Macaca mulatta: one gene and its partner. The protein of the gene in region 1 purifies or fractionates together with the protein of each later gene. This does not show direct contact. Links are inferred from orthologs where the notes say so. Each region holds a gene or a part of one and is shown on either strand. Other genes may lie near its edges.

Region 1 (6,450 bases):
GGTCTGGCTGTGTCTCAAACTGCTGGCCTCAAGTGATCCTCTCAAAGTGTTGGGATAACAGACATGAGCCACTGTGCCTGGCCTGTTGAAAGTTTTTCAACCATTATAGGTCCTTTGTCCCATACTTGCAGCAAGTCAATAGTGGGAGACACCAGGTTGCAGCAGAGAAAGAGGTTTAATCATAGGGCCACTGAAAACCAAGGGAGGAGATGGAAGGAAACCACGAATCCACCTCCCCAGGGAGTTCAGGGGTTTTTAAGGGTTTTGGAGTGGGTTGAAGTGTGGGGATCGTTGGTTGGTTGAGTGCAGGGTGAAGTAATGAAACAGGGAGTTGAAGAAACTCTATTCTCCTGTCAATTTGGTTCCTCTCTGGGGTCTTCACACTGGTTGGCATCAGCTGTTCTGCTGGAATTCAGGATCTGAAAAACATCTTAGGCACCTTTTGTTTTTTTTTTGAGACAAGGTCTGTTGTCCAGGCTGGAGTGCAGTGGTGCCATCATACCTCATTGGAGCCTCCAACGCCTGGGCTCAAGGATTCTTCCACCTTAGCCTCCCAAGTAGCTGGGACTACAGGCATGCGCCACCACACCCAGCTAATAAAATTTTTTTTTTTTTTTTTTTGTAGAGACAGGGGTCTTGTCATGTTGCCCAGGCTGGTCTTGAACTCCTGGTCTCAAGTGATTCTCCTACCTCAGTCTTCTAAAGTGCTTAGGTGGGATTACAGGCGTGAGCCACCACGCCAGATGCCAATTCTTAAATAAAAATACATGATTCCGCCAGGTGTGGTGGCTCGCGCCTGTAATCCCAGCACTTTGGGAGGCCAAGGTGGGTGGATCACTTGATGTCAGGAGTTCGAGATCAGCCTGGCCACCATGGTGAAACCCTGTCTCTACTAAAAATACAAAAATTAGGCCCGGTACGGTGGCTCAAGCCTGTAATCCCAGCACTTTGGGAGGCCGAGATGGGCGGATCATGAGGTCAGGACATCGAGACCATCCTGGCTAACACGGTGAAACCTGGTCTTCACTAAAAAATTAGCCCGGCATGGTGGCAGGCGCCTGTAGTCCCAGCTACACAGGAGGCTGAGGCAGGAGAATGGCGTGAACCTGGGAGGTGGAGCTTGTAGTGAGTGGAGATTGCGCCACTGCACTTCAGTGTGGGCGACAGAGACTCTTGTCTCAAAAAAAAAAAAAAATAGATGGGCGTGGTGGCTTTTTTTTTTTTTTTTGAGCTGAGAGTCTCTGTCGCCCACACTGAAGTGCAGTAGCAGGATCTTGGTTCACTGCAACCTCTGCCTCCCAGTTCAAACAATTCTCCGGCCTCGGCCTGGCAATTGGCTGAGACTATGGGCATGCCACCACACCCGGCTAATTTTTGTATTGTTAGTAGTGAGGGGGTTTCACCATCTTGGCCAGGCTGGTCTCAAACTCCTGACCTCGTGATCTGCCCTCCTCAGCCTCCGAAAGTGCTGGGATTACAGGCATGAGCCACTGTGCCCTGCTAAAAAGCCTATGATTCTAACATCAGAAATCCTCCCACCTCAGCCTCCCACGTGGCTGGGACTATAGGCTCAGTGCCACCACACCAAGCTAATTTTTGCATTTTGAATAGAGATGGCGTTTCACTATATTGCCCACCTGGGGCCATCCGTGTTTTCTTTTCTGTTATTTTTGTTTTATTTATTTATTTTTTTGAGACCGAGTCTCGCTCTATCTCAGGCTGGAGTGCTGACATGATCTTGGCTCACTACAAGCTCCAACTCCTGGGTTCAAGCGATTCTCCTGCCTCAGCCTCCCAAGTAGCTGGGACTACAGGTGTGAGCCACCATGCTCTGCTGTTTTTTTTTTTTTTTTATTTTTAGTACAGACGGGATTTCGCCATGTTAGCTAGGCTGCTCTCGAACTCCTGATCTCAACTAATCTGCCTGCCTCGGCCCTCCGAAGTGCTGAGATTACAGGCGTGAGTCACCGCGCCTGGCCTATTCCTGTTTTCTTAATGCTTCTCTCTCCCACTGGGCCGTGACTGCCTCCAAAGCAGAGATGTGTCCATTTTTTATTATTATTGTATGTCCAGGGCTGGGCACAAAGTGCAACGCATAGTAGGGACATGAAAGCCTGGGAACAGTGGCTGATGCCTGTAATCCCAGCACTTTGGGAGGCAGAGGCGGGAGGATAGCTTGAGACCAGGATTTCGAGACCAGCCTTGGCAACACATCGGGACCTCATCTGTATGAAAAAAAAAAAGAAAATTGACAGTTCAATGTCACCTCTGATAAGCCTTCCCTGACCACCCCTGTTACTCTGTAGCCCCATGTCCTGCTTTATTTTTCTCCAAAGCATTTGTCATCGCTGGGTTTATATTTATTTCTCTTTGGGTTTTTCTCACTGGATCGTAAACTCCATGAGGACAGGGCTTTGTCGATTTTACTCAATACCCTATTTTACAACATCCCTATTGCTGGGATCTCAGTATGCACGCCTTAAATATTTGCAGAATTTAAGCGCCTCATAAGTGACCACGTGGGCAACGCCCTCGGGGCCTTAACCGGCGCCATTTTTGGGGCTAGGATTGGTTGGACCCTCCGTCACGTGACATGCAGTTGCCGGATCGCCTTTGAGTCTCGTGAGGTACTTTTGGTCCCAGGCTCCTTGGACGAGGTACTGCGCAGGCGTGGGAGGGGGTCTGCGCACGCGCAGAAGCACCCCGGGTGTGCTGCCGGCGGAGGTTGGTGGCGCGCGGGGCTGGCGGGCGGTTGGCGTGAGCGGGACGTGAGCTGAGGCAGGAAGAGCCGGCGCCATGGTGGAGAAGGAGGAGGCTGGCGGCGGCATCAGCGAGGAGGAGGCGGCGCAGTATGACCGGCAGATCCGCCTGTGGGGACTGGAGGCCCAGAAACGGTCAGCGCCGGCGCGGCTTGAGGCGCCGAGGGTCTGGAGGGGGCGTCTAGTCTGAGGCGTTTGCGGCCCGGAAGGAGCGGGAAGGTGTGATTTGAAGGGAGGAGGCGGGAATTATGTGCCCCGGGATCGTCTCGCTCCTGAGGGAACTAGAGGAGTTGATTGGGGATGTTTCTGGAAGGTCTGGGAAGTGGTTGGGAGAGCCGTTCCGAAGGATGGGAGCTCTGAAGGGGGCTCTGATTGGGGAGTCCTGAGGGAGCGGGAGAATTCAAACTCAGGAAATCCGAGGCCCGAAAGCGGTGATTGTGGGATTTAGGTCGCGGTTAGGGGATAAGAGGGGCTGGGGTACGTGGAAGGGGTGAGGTGAAGGACATAGTTCATTCATTCGATGGTGTGGGACCCGGTTCCGTGCTGGATACGGGGGAGACTGGACTGGCCAACCGGGCCGACGGGAGCTTACATTCTTGTGGGTGCTCAGGGGCGGGCCAGGCTGAAAGAATGCGGGTTTTGAGGAGTTTTGGAGCAAGTTATGTCAAATGGAACTCTTGAGAGGCTCGGAGAGTCTGGAGGGGGACGGCAGTAGGCTCCCGAAAAGGTTGCTTGTGTCTGGTACGGGGCTGTGCCTTGGTAAGACAGGAGACATAGTTTGGGCATTGTGGAGTAGCTTAGGGATGGGGTTTTCTTTTCTTTTCTTTTCTTTTTCGACGGAGTCTCTCCCTTGTCGCCCAGGCTGGAGTGCAGTGGCGCGATCTCAGCTCACTGCAAGCTCCGCCTCCCGGATTCAAGCGATTCTCCTGCCTCAGCCTCCCGAGTAGCTGGGATTATAGGGGCCCGCCACCACGCCCGGCTAATTTTTGTATTTTTAGTAGACATGGGGTTTCGCCATGTTGACCGGACTGGTCTCGAACTGCTGACCTCAACTGATCCACCCGCCTCGGCCTCCCGAATGCTGGGATTACAGGCTCACGCCACCACACCCGGCTAATTTTTGTATTTTTAGTAGAGACAGGTTTTCACCATGTTGGCCAGGCTGGTCTGGAACTCCGGACCTCAAGTGATCTGCCCGCCACTGCCTCCCAAAGTGATGGGATTACAGACTTGAGCCACTGTGCCCGGCTTTTTTTTCTTTTTTTTTTTTTTTTCTCCTCTTTGTCGCCCAGGCTGGAGTGCAGTGATGGGATCACAGTTCACTGTAGCCTCGACCTCCAAGTCTCAAGTGATATTCCCTCTTAAGCCTCCCAAGTAGCTGGAACTACAGGCGCACCCCACCACATCATCCGACTAATATTTATTTATTTATTTATTTATTTATTTTTTATTTTTTTTTTTTGAGACGGAGTCTCGCTCTGTCGCCCCGGCTGGAGTGCAGTGGCCGGATCTCAGCTCACTGCAAGCTCCGCCTCCCGGGTTCACGCCATTCTCCTGCCTCAGCCTCCCGAGTAGCTGGGACTACAGGCACCCGCCACCTCGCCTGGCTAGTTTTTTTTTGTATTTTTTAGTAGAGACGGGGTTTCACCGTGTTAGCCAGGATGGTCTCGATCTCCTGACCTCGTGATCCGCCCATCTCGGCCTCCCAAAGTACTGGGATTACAGGCTTGAGCCACCGCGCCCGGCCCCGACTAATATTTATATATATATTTTTGTAAGATGGGGTTTTGCCACGTTGCCCAGACTGGTCTTGAACTTCCAAGCTCAAGCGATCCTTGGCCTCAAGAGATCTCCCCCCAGCTCAGACTCCTAAAATGCTGGGACTACAGGCCTGAGCCACCATGCCTGGCCTCACCGATCAATATTTTTACTTAGCCGGGACGCAGTGGCTCACACCTGTAATCCCAGCACTTTGGGAGGCTGAGTTGGGGGGAGGGGATCTCTTGAGTCCAGGAGTTTGAGACCAGCCTGGGTAACGTTGCCAAACCCAGTCTCTACAAAAATACAAAAATTAGCCAGGCATGGCGGCATGAGTTTATAGTCCCAGCTAGTCTGGAGGTTGAGGTGGGAGCATCACCTGAGCCCCCAGGAGGCGGAGGTTGCAGTAAGCCATGGTCGCGCCACTACACCCCAGCCTGGGTGACAGAGTGAGGAGGCCCTGTCTCAAAAAAAAAAAAAAAAAAATTCCACAAATGTGTACATATGTGTCAGTCATTAAAGGATGGTGAAGTGGGAGGGTTGTTTTGATAGGTTGGCTGGGAAAGGGCTCTGAAGAGGTAACATTGAGCCTCTTAAGAAGGGAAAAAGCCTTGTGATCATCTAGGAGAACTTTCCTAGCAGAGAGAACAGCAAGTGCAAATTCCCAGAGGCCCAGGCATGATCGTCAAATTAGAGAAATAAGGTGGCAAGAACCAAATGAGTTGAGTAGCTTTTATTCTAAGTGTGTGGGGAAAACCTGTTGGAGTGTTTTGAGTGTGGGAATAACATGATCTGTGGGTTGTTTTGTTTTGTTTTGTTTGTTTGTTTTTGTTTTGAGATGGAGTCTCGCTCTGTCACCCAGGCTGGAGTGCAATGGCTCAGTCTTGGCTCACTGCAACCACCGCCTGCCAGGTTCAAGCGATTCTCCTGCCTCAACCTCCTGAGTGGCTGGGACTATAGGCACCTGCCACCACACCCGGCTAATCTTGTGTATTTTTAGTAGAGACAGGGTTTCACTGTGTTAGCCAGGATGGTCTCCATCTCCTGACCTCGTGATCCGCCTGCCTTGGCCTCCTAAAGTGCTGGCATTACAGGCGTGAGCCACTGCACCTGGCCTGGTTTGTGTTTCCATTCCTGGCAGAAATGAAAAAGATTCTGGCTGGACTGTTGCAGTAATCTAGTTGAGACAAAAATATTGGTAGCTTGAAACTCAAGAGAAGAGGTCAAATATATATATATTCTGGATATATATATGTTTTGAAGGTAGAAGAGGGAACAGGATTTGGGACAGAAATCCAGTATGACACCACTGTTTTTGGCTTGAGCACCTGGAATGATGGAATTGCCATTTTGAAAGATATGGGGAGCTGTAGGTTTGGTGGGGTCAGGGAAAAGTCAGTTCTCTTTTAGGTTTCAGATTTTTTTTTTTTTTTTTGAGACGGAGTCTCGCTGTAGCCCAGGCTGGAGTGCAGTGGCATGATCTTGGCGCACTGCAAGCTCCGTCTCCCAGGTTCACGCCATTCTTCTGCCTCAGCCTCCCGAGTAGCCGGGACTACAGGCGCCCGCCACCATGCTTGGCTTTTTTGTTTGTTTGTATTTTTAGTAGAGACGGGGTTTCACTGTGTTAGCCAGGATGGTCTCGATCTCCTGACCTTGTGATCCACCTGCCTCGATCTCCCAAAGTGCTGGGATTACAGGCGTGAGCCACCATGCCCTGCCCAGATTTGTTTTTTTATACAACTAAGTAGAAATACGTGAGGGGTTGAGTTCAGAGGTAAAATTTGGGTGATGGTGGGCATTGTGTGAGTACAGTGTATAGAATTAATGGAGGGGTTGGGGAAGCCGACACGTCAGGAGAATTTAGTTTGAGGGGGTGGGAGCTTTCAGGAGGTTTTGGAGTGTGCAGTGGTGGGATGGGAATTACCTCAGGCTC
Region 2 (6,350 bases), on another chromosome or scaffold:
ACACCCCCTATGGTGTGTGCCCACCTCTCCCCATCACGCCCCTTATGGTGTGTGCCCACCTCTCCCCATTGCGCCTCCCCTGCCATGCCCACCCACCCCTCCTTATCCAGCCTTGGGTGTGCTTTAGTTTCCCCCATTGCCACACTGGGGTGTGCATCCTTCCAGTCTCAGTCCTGGGGTATGCACCCTTCATTCAGGTGCACTGGCCACTCCTTCTTGGGAGGGTCCTTAGTCGCGGTCTCCAGTGATCATAAAAAGAGAACCTTTCCGAAGCCCTTGGTGTGCACTCTTGGCCTCTATGTTACATCCTAGTGGAAGATGACTAGAGCTGAAGGCTCTGTAAGGATGCTGTCTCTGATACTGGCCTGGTCCTGGAGGTGACCACCCTCCCTTTACAGATGAGGGTGGAGGCTCAGTGCCAGACACTGGTGGAAACTGGGATGGAACCGTCCGGAACCATGGTTGCGGCCTCTGGAAGTCTGCACTCTGCTTGCTGTGGTCAGACTCCAAGGAAACCTCCCCTATCCAGATGGCATTTGGAGTGACCTTCGCTTTTTACATTTTGACTCCAGTGAAGTCAAAGTTCTCCCACTCAGGGGTTGTTTGAATATTTAAATACTTGTTAAAACTAGGCCAAATATAAATGTCCTTTCTTTATGTTTTCGTAGGTGGCTTCCTCTTAATGAAGAGTACATGTAATAAAATATGTATGATACTCATTTTCTCAGCAGTGTTTACACTTAGCTCTGCCATGTGGTCAACCTCAGGCTCCAATTCCGTTGAAAACACTTGTTGAATTCCAGAATGATTGAGTGGCTGCCACCTCACAGGCCCTGCTCCTGGTGGTTCTCCTCTGAGCCCATGTGGGAGCAGCTCTACCCTGTGGGGCTCTGAGGAAGGGGAAGAAGTGGACTCTGGGGCCCAGTGGTGCTGGAAAGAAGAGCTTTTGGGTCAGGCAGGAGAATGTTCTGACTTCCCTGGATAGCTGAGGCGGAGGATTGACTAGCAAACTGAGGCCCATGTTTTTAGGGCTTCATTTTTTAACTCACGAGTTCACTTGCTTATTAGGAATTTACCAGGGGTCTGGGACAGACCGACATTGCTGGTGTCTGTCTGTTTGGAGCAGAGGCACTGTGGCCGGCCCTGCCCTGCCCCAGCCTCTCCTGGGGCTGCAGCCATTACCCTGTGGGGACATGTGTGGGCCCTGCATCTGTGCCTTTGAACACACTCATATCTTCCTTGCCTAAAGAAGCCAGTGCATCCTCATGCTTGGGGAAGTGAAGGGGGCTCATGCAGGGGTCCCCACTTCCATCCCGCCTGGAACTGTTTGCATGCTCTTCCTTCCTAGGCCAGTTTTCCCTGCGCTGGAGGCCACATTTGGGATGGGGGGATGGGGGTGTGCCAGCTCACCACTCAGGCTGCTGCCAAGCCACCGGCGTCCCGGGAGTGGGCAAGGGTGTCTGACCCAAGACTGGAGTTGGGGAGTGAGTGCTGGCCCAGGACACGCACCTTCAGGTTCGCAGCTGGAGCCCCTCACTGCCAGGGCCCCTTGCCGGCCACTCTAGTTCCCTTGACAGAGCACCGTACCTCCCCAGGGTCTCCAGGAACCAAGCATGGGGGCAGTCCCCGGGTTCACCCTCAGGCGAGCCTTCTACATCCCACTCCCTGTATTTAGGCATCGCTGGGACAGTTGTCCCTCTCCCAGCCAGGGAAGGTAAGGAGAAGTGGAGAGAAAAGGCATGTAACGTACAGTGCTCCTTGCAGGCAGCAGCTCAGCATGGGGGGAAAGGGTACCAGGATGCTCCAGACTTGACTTTCAGAGTGAGCTGGAGGGCCCTGCCTCATTGCTTCACTCACAAACGAATTTATCCCAGCAGTGCAGGCCGGCCACAACTCCAAATGCATTTTCAGGCAACAAGACACCCCAGTTGTGCCATTGTTGAGTAGCTTCAGGCATGGCATGAATTAAAAAGTAAAAAGTCCCACCTACTGCCGCTCAGATGGGACAATTTGAAACTAGAAAGTACTCGGGGCCGGGCGCGGTGGCTCAAGCCTGTAATCCCAGCACTTTGGGAGGCCGAGACGGGCGGATCACAAGGTCAGGAGATCGAGACCATCCTGGCTAACATGGTGAAACCCCGTCTCTACTAAAAATACAAAAAACTAGCCGGGCGAGGTGGCGGGCGCCTGTAGTCCCAGCTACTCGGGAGGCTGAGGCAGGAGAATGGCGTAAACCCGGGAGGCAGAGCTTGCAGTGAGCTGAGATCTGGCCACTGCACTCCAGCCTGGGCGACAGAGCGAGACTCCGTCTCAAAAAAAAAAAAAAAAAAAGAAAGTACTCGGAGGTGGCTTCCCTCACATTTGCTGATGTCAGGGCAGCAAGAAGGAGGCTGGCTGCCTGCTGTGGGAAGTGGCCGTCCTCAGTTGGATTCCAGAAGTTACCACTTGAATGTCCCACAGGGTTTCTCTGAGTCACAAATGTTTTCTTCTGATTTTGGTTTCTTTCACTAATGCTATATAGCTGTGTGAGTTTTGGATATGTGTTTTTACTGATTTCATAAGAATTTTTTTAAAAAAGAGATGGGGTCTTGCTATGTTGCCCAGGCTGGTCTCAAACTCCTGGGCTCAAGCCATCCTTCCATGTCAGCTTCCCAAAGTGCTGGAATAACAGGTGTGAGCCACCGTGCCCAGCCTACAAGAATAACTTTAAAATAAAGATGGATTTTCTCTGATTTTTCCCTAGACTTACTAAACAAGGTTTTTTCTTTGAATTAACAATATCAGAGGACCGTAGACTTGCATTGTTTTACACATGGATTCTTAACAAGTGGAAGTTAAAAATAAATTCTGTGTAAAAATAAAACCATCACGAGTGACTCTGAATTGCTGGAGAATTTTAAGAATTAGGTTGGTTTTAATGACTTTAGAAAGGCAACAATTACCTAAAGACTTGCCCTTTCAAGTCGTGGTAATTTTGAGATACAGTTTTTAGGCCAGTCTCCGGTGTCTTCTGCAGGAGGGCGTGAAGACAGAGAACGACCACATCAACCTGAAGGTGGCCGGGCAGGACGGCTCCGTGGTGCAGTTCAAGATCAAGAGGCACACGCCACTGAGCAAGCTGATGAAGGCCTACTGCGAGAGGCAGGTGCGGCGCCTCGCTCCCCCACGGGGCTTCCCTGTGTGCGCGCTGGTCCTGTGTGCACCAGGCATCCCCAGAGCACGAGTGTCAGGGCTGGATCCAGATGTAGCCACTCGAGGTGCCCTCTTCATGGATGGGCAGGCGGGGGCTTGTGCTGTAAACCTGGCCTAGGCTGGGCTTGCTGACTGTGTCCCCCATGGCCTTTTATGAGGTGGAGGGACCTAGAGGCTCAGAGAAATGTGGTGGGTTTTTCTTCCTGATAAGGCGGCTGCCCAGGGTGCTGTGTTCTCCATGGGGTACTAACATCTGTGAAGTCTGTGACGCTGAAGGCTCTGGGGGGCCCTGCTCAGATCTGGCCATTCTGGGGCTGCAGGTGGCATGTGCCCCATGCTGCTGTCACCCCGTCCTCACGTATGAGCTGGCGTGGCCCTGAAGAAACACTGCCCTCATCTGCAGTGTGGTTTTCCATTTTGTTAGGAAAGGCAAGAAAGCTTGTGATTCGTTCCCCTGCTTCCTCAGTTTCAGGATAGTGAGCTGCCTCACTGGCAGTGCCCAGCTGGGTGGACGCCTTCCGGCTGCTGTGTGTGACTTGATGTGTGTGTGTGTGTCTGTTGTTCTTGGTAATGCTGTGGAGGACTCACCCTGGGCCAGGGGGTCCCTCTCTAGGCCACTGCTATGGGCTTTGCCCGCCAGCTGCTGTCTGGCTTGTCTGGGGCCCGGCCCTGCAGCCAGGTGCCTTTCCCCAGGGAGCCCTGCTTGCCTGAGTGGGACCTAGAGGCTGCTTTTCTTCAGCTGCTCTGAAAATACAGCAACTCGTTGCCCTTTTATTTTACTCTTTTGCCTGTGGATTTTCAGTTAGATTTCCTCCTCTTTCCCTCTCACTTTGGATACCCTGCTCAGAGGGGCGTCACTGGTGACCACCTTGCACTCTTTATTGACAAGCAGACCCTCTGACTTCCTTTCTTCGTGTTTGCTGATGGCAGATCTTATTTTCACCTGCGAAAGGTGAGACTGAGCTTCCAGACACGCAGGCTTCGGTCTTCCCAGCAGAGTGAGTGGCCTGGTGCCATGCAGGCCCCATGATCCAGCCTCTGCCTGGTGCTGGACCCTGGCCCTTGTCGGAGTTTATGCTGCCTGGGCTGGTGGCCACATTCTCCTCTGCACTGTGGGATGGCAGGCGTGTGGGGCCGTGTACATGTGGTGGGGGCTCTGCCCTTCCCCCTGCTCTTCCAGGGCTCCCCTCCTGCCCCACCTGCACTGCTGCTTGTGAGGCTGGCTGCTCAGCCGTGGTCCCGGGCCTCCTGTTCAAATCCTAGAGGTTCTCTCTTGGTGTTTCCTGGATTAGTCCTCCTCCCTTTTGTGTTTTGTGGTGGAGCACATCCTCCAGGGTCTTCTCGGAACAGGCAGAGAAGGGTAGCGTCTTTGAGACACTGCATGGCTGAACGTGACTTTTGCTTTTATAAACTTTCACACTTCAGTATGTGGCTGCACGCAGTATTCTTGGTTGAAACTCTTTTTTTTTTTTTTTTCTTTCAGAGATCAGCCATGAGAATAGCTCCCAATGTTGAAAGTGAAAAGTTTACCAGGCATGGTAGTTTATGCCTGTAATCCCAGCACTTTGGGAGGCTGATGTGGGAGGATCATCTGAGGTCAGGAGTTCAAGACCAGCCTGGGCAACACAGGGAGACCCTCTCTCTACGAAACATTAAAAAAATTAGCCAGGTGTGGTGGTGCAAGCCTGCAGTCCCAGCTACTCAGGAGGCTGAGGTGGGAGGATTGTTTGAGCCTCGGAGGTGGAGGCTGCAGGGAGCTGAGGTCGTATCACTGCTGCAGCCTGGGTGACAGAGCAAGACCCTGTCTCAAAGGAAAAAAAAAAAAAAAGTGAGAAGTTCAGTGGATTCTGATTCTCTGTGCTTTGTTTGTAACTTGGTTTTTCTCTGGAAGTATCTGGGACCATATTCTGGCATTCCAGTGTTCCCTTATGTGCCTCAGAGGTGTGTGATTTTATCACTCATGCTGCTGGGTACTTTATGGGTCTGGACATTTATTTTTATTCAAGAAATATGCCCTATGTCAGTTCTTTGATAATTTGTGTCCTTCTCCACACTCTGGTCCCTCTTTTGGAGTTCCTGCTGCTAATTGTCCTAGTTTACATTTGATAATTTTTCTCCCATTTTGCTTTGGGCTTTATTATCGCTGTTGGTCTCCTTTCCGGGAGGTCATTTCAACTTTATCTTTCCACTTTCTGTGGACATTCTCATCTCTGTCATGATTTTTAATTTCCAAAAGTTCTTTTCTCTTTCTGTTCTTTGAGTGTTTTTTTTTTCTCAGTAGCAGTTGATTTATTTTTTTTGAGACACGGTCTCGCTCTGTTCCCCAAGCTGGAGCACAGTGGTGTGATCATGGTTCACTGCAGCCTTGACCTCTGGGGCTCAATTGATCCACCCACCTCAGCTTCCTGAGTAGGTGGGACTACAGGTACATGCCACCACACCTGGCTAATTTTTTTATTTTGTGGAGATGGGGTCTCCCTATGTGGTCCAGGTTGGTCTCGAATTCCTGGGCTCAAGCGACCCTCCTGCTTGTGTCTCCCAAAGTGTGGGATTACAGGTGTGAGCCACCATACCCCTCCTCAGTAGCAATTGATTGTTTTCTGAAGGTAGTATTATTTTTTACTTCCCATAGAACTTGAATTGTGAGTGTAGGTGTGTGTGGTGTGTATGTCCATGTCTTTGTGCATGTGTGTGTATGTGTGGGGGTGTGTGCGTGTGTGGGCCTGTGTTGGGAGCGTTCTCCTGCCTCCTTCCTGTCCGTTCTCTGTGCTCCTCCCCTCCTCTCCTCTCCGGGCTGCTGCACAGTGAGCCTTACCCTGACTGCTGTCATGCAGGCTGACTTCTGTGCAAGCATGGAGCACTGAGAAGCTGGTGAGAAGCCATGTACATGGATGGCTGTGCTGCCAGGGCTGTGTATCCCTGGAGTGACATGTCTGGATTGTGGGTTCTGGAGGCACCCAGATGCTAAGCTGAGAGTTGAGTCCTCCAGTCTCCGGCCAGCCTCCTGGGGGCACATCTGGAGGGGAGAGGGGACTTGGCGCGCAGCGCTGGGGGCACGCGCTTCCATGGGCCTGTTTTCGTCCTACGCCTGGAGCCCTGCACCCACCTCTTCAGAAAGCAGACCTCCTGTGTGCTGCCGTGGGAGGCACAGGGTTGTG

Evidence for each region. Proteins that work in one complex are often made in the same cells at the same time.
Region 2: the proteins of SAE1 (region 1) and SUMO3 purify together in Homo sapiens (affinity purification with mass spectrometry; 3 studies listed by BioGRID and IntAct, with this or other methods). This does not show direct contact. The link is inferred for Macaca mulatta from reciprocal best matches to the Homo sapiens genes SAE1 and SUMO3.

What each region holds. Positions count from the first base shown.
Region 1 is NC_133424.1:59,608,768-59,615,217, forward strand, and holds the start of SAE1 (SUMO-activating enzyme subunit 1), read left to right. Parts: upstream 1-2,694; 5' UTR 2,695-2,796; coding exon 2,797-2,894; exon of another isoform or gene 2,895-2,978; intron 2,979-6,450. UniProt on the Homo sapiens protein: The heterodimer acts as an E1 ligase for SUMO1, SUMO2, SUMO3, and probably SUMO4. It mediates ATP-dependent activation of SUMO proteins followed by formation of a thioester bond between a SUMO protein and a conserved active site cysteine residue on UBA2/SAE2.
Region 2 is NC_133408.1:2,710,561-2,716,910, forward strand, and holds part of SUMO3 (small ubiquitin-related modifier 3), read left to right. Parts: intron 1-3,016; coding exon 3,017-3,145; intron 3,146-6,350. UniProt on the Homo sapiens protein: Ubiquitin-like protein which can be covalently attached to target lysines either as a monomer or as a lysine-linked polymer. Does not seem to be involved in protein degradation and may function as an antagonist of ubiquitin in the degradation process.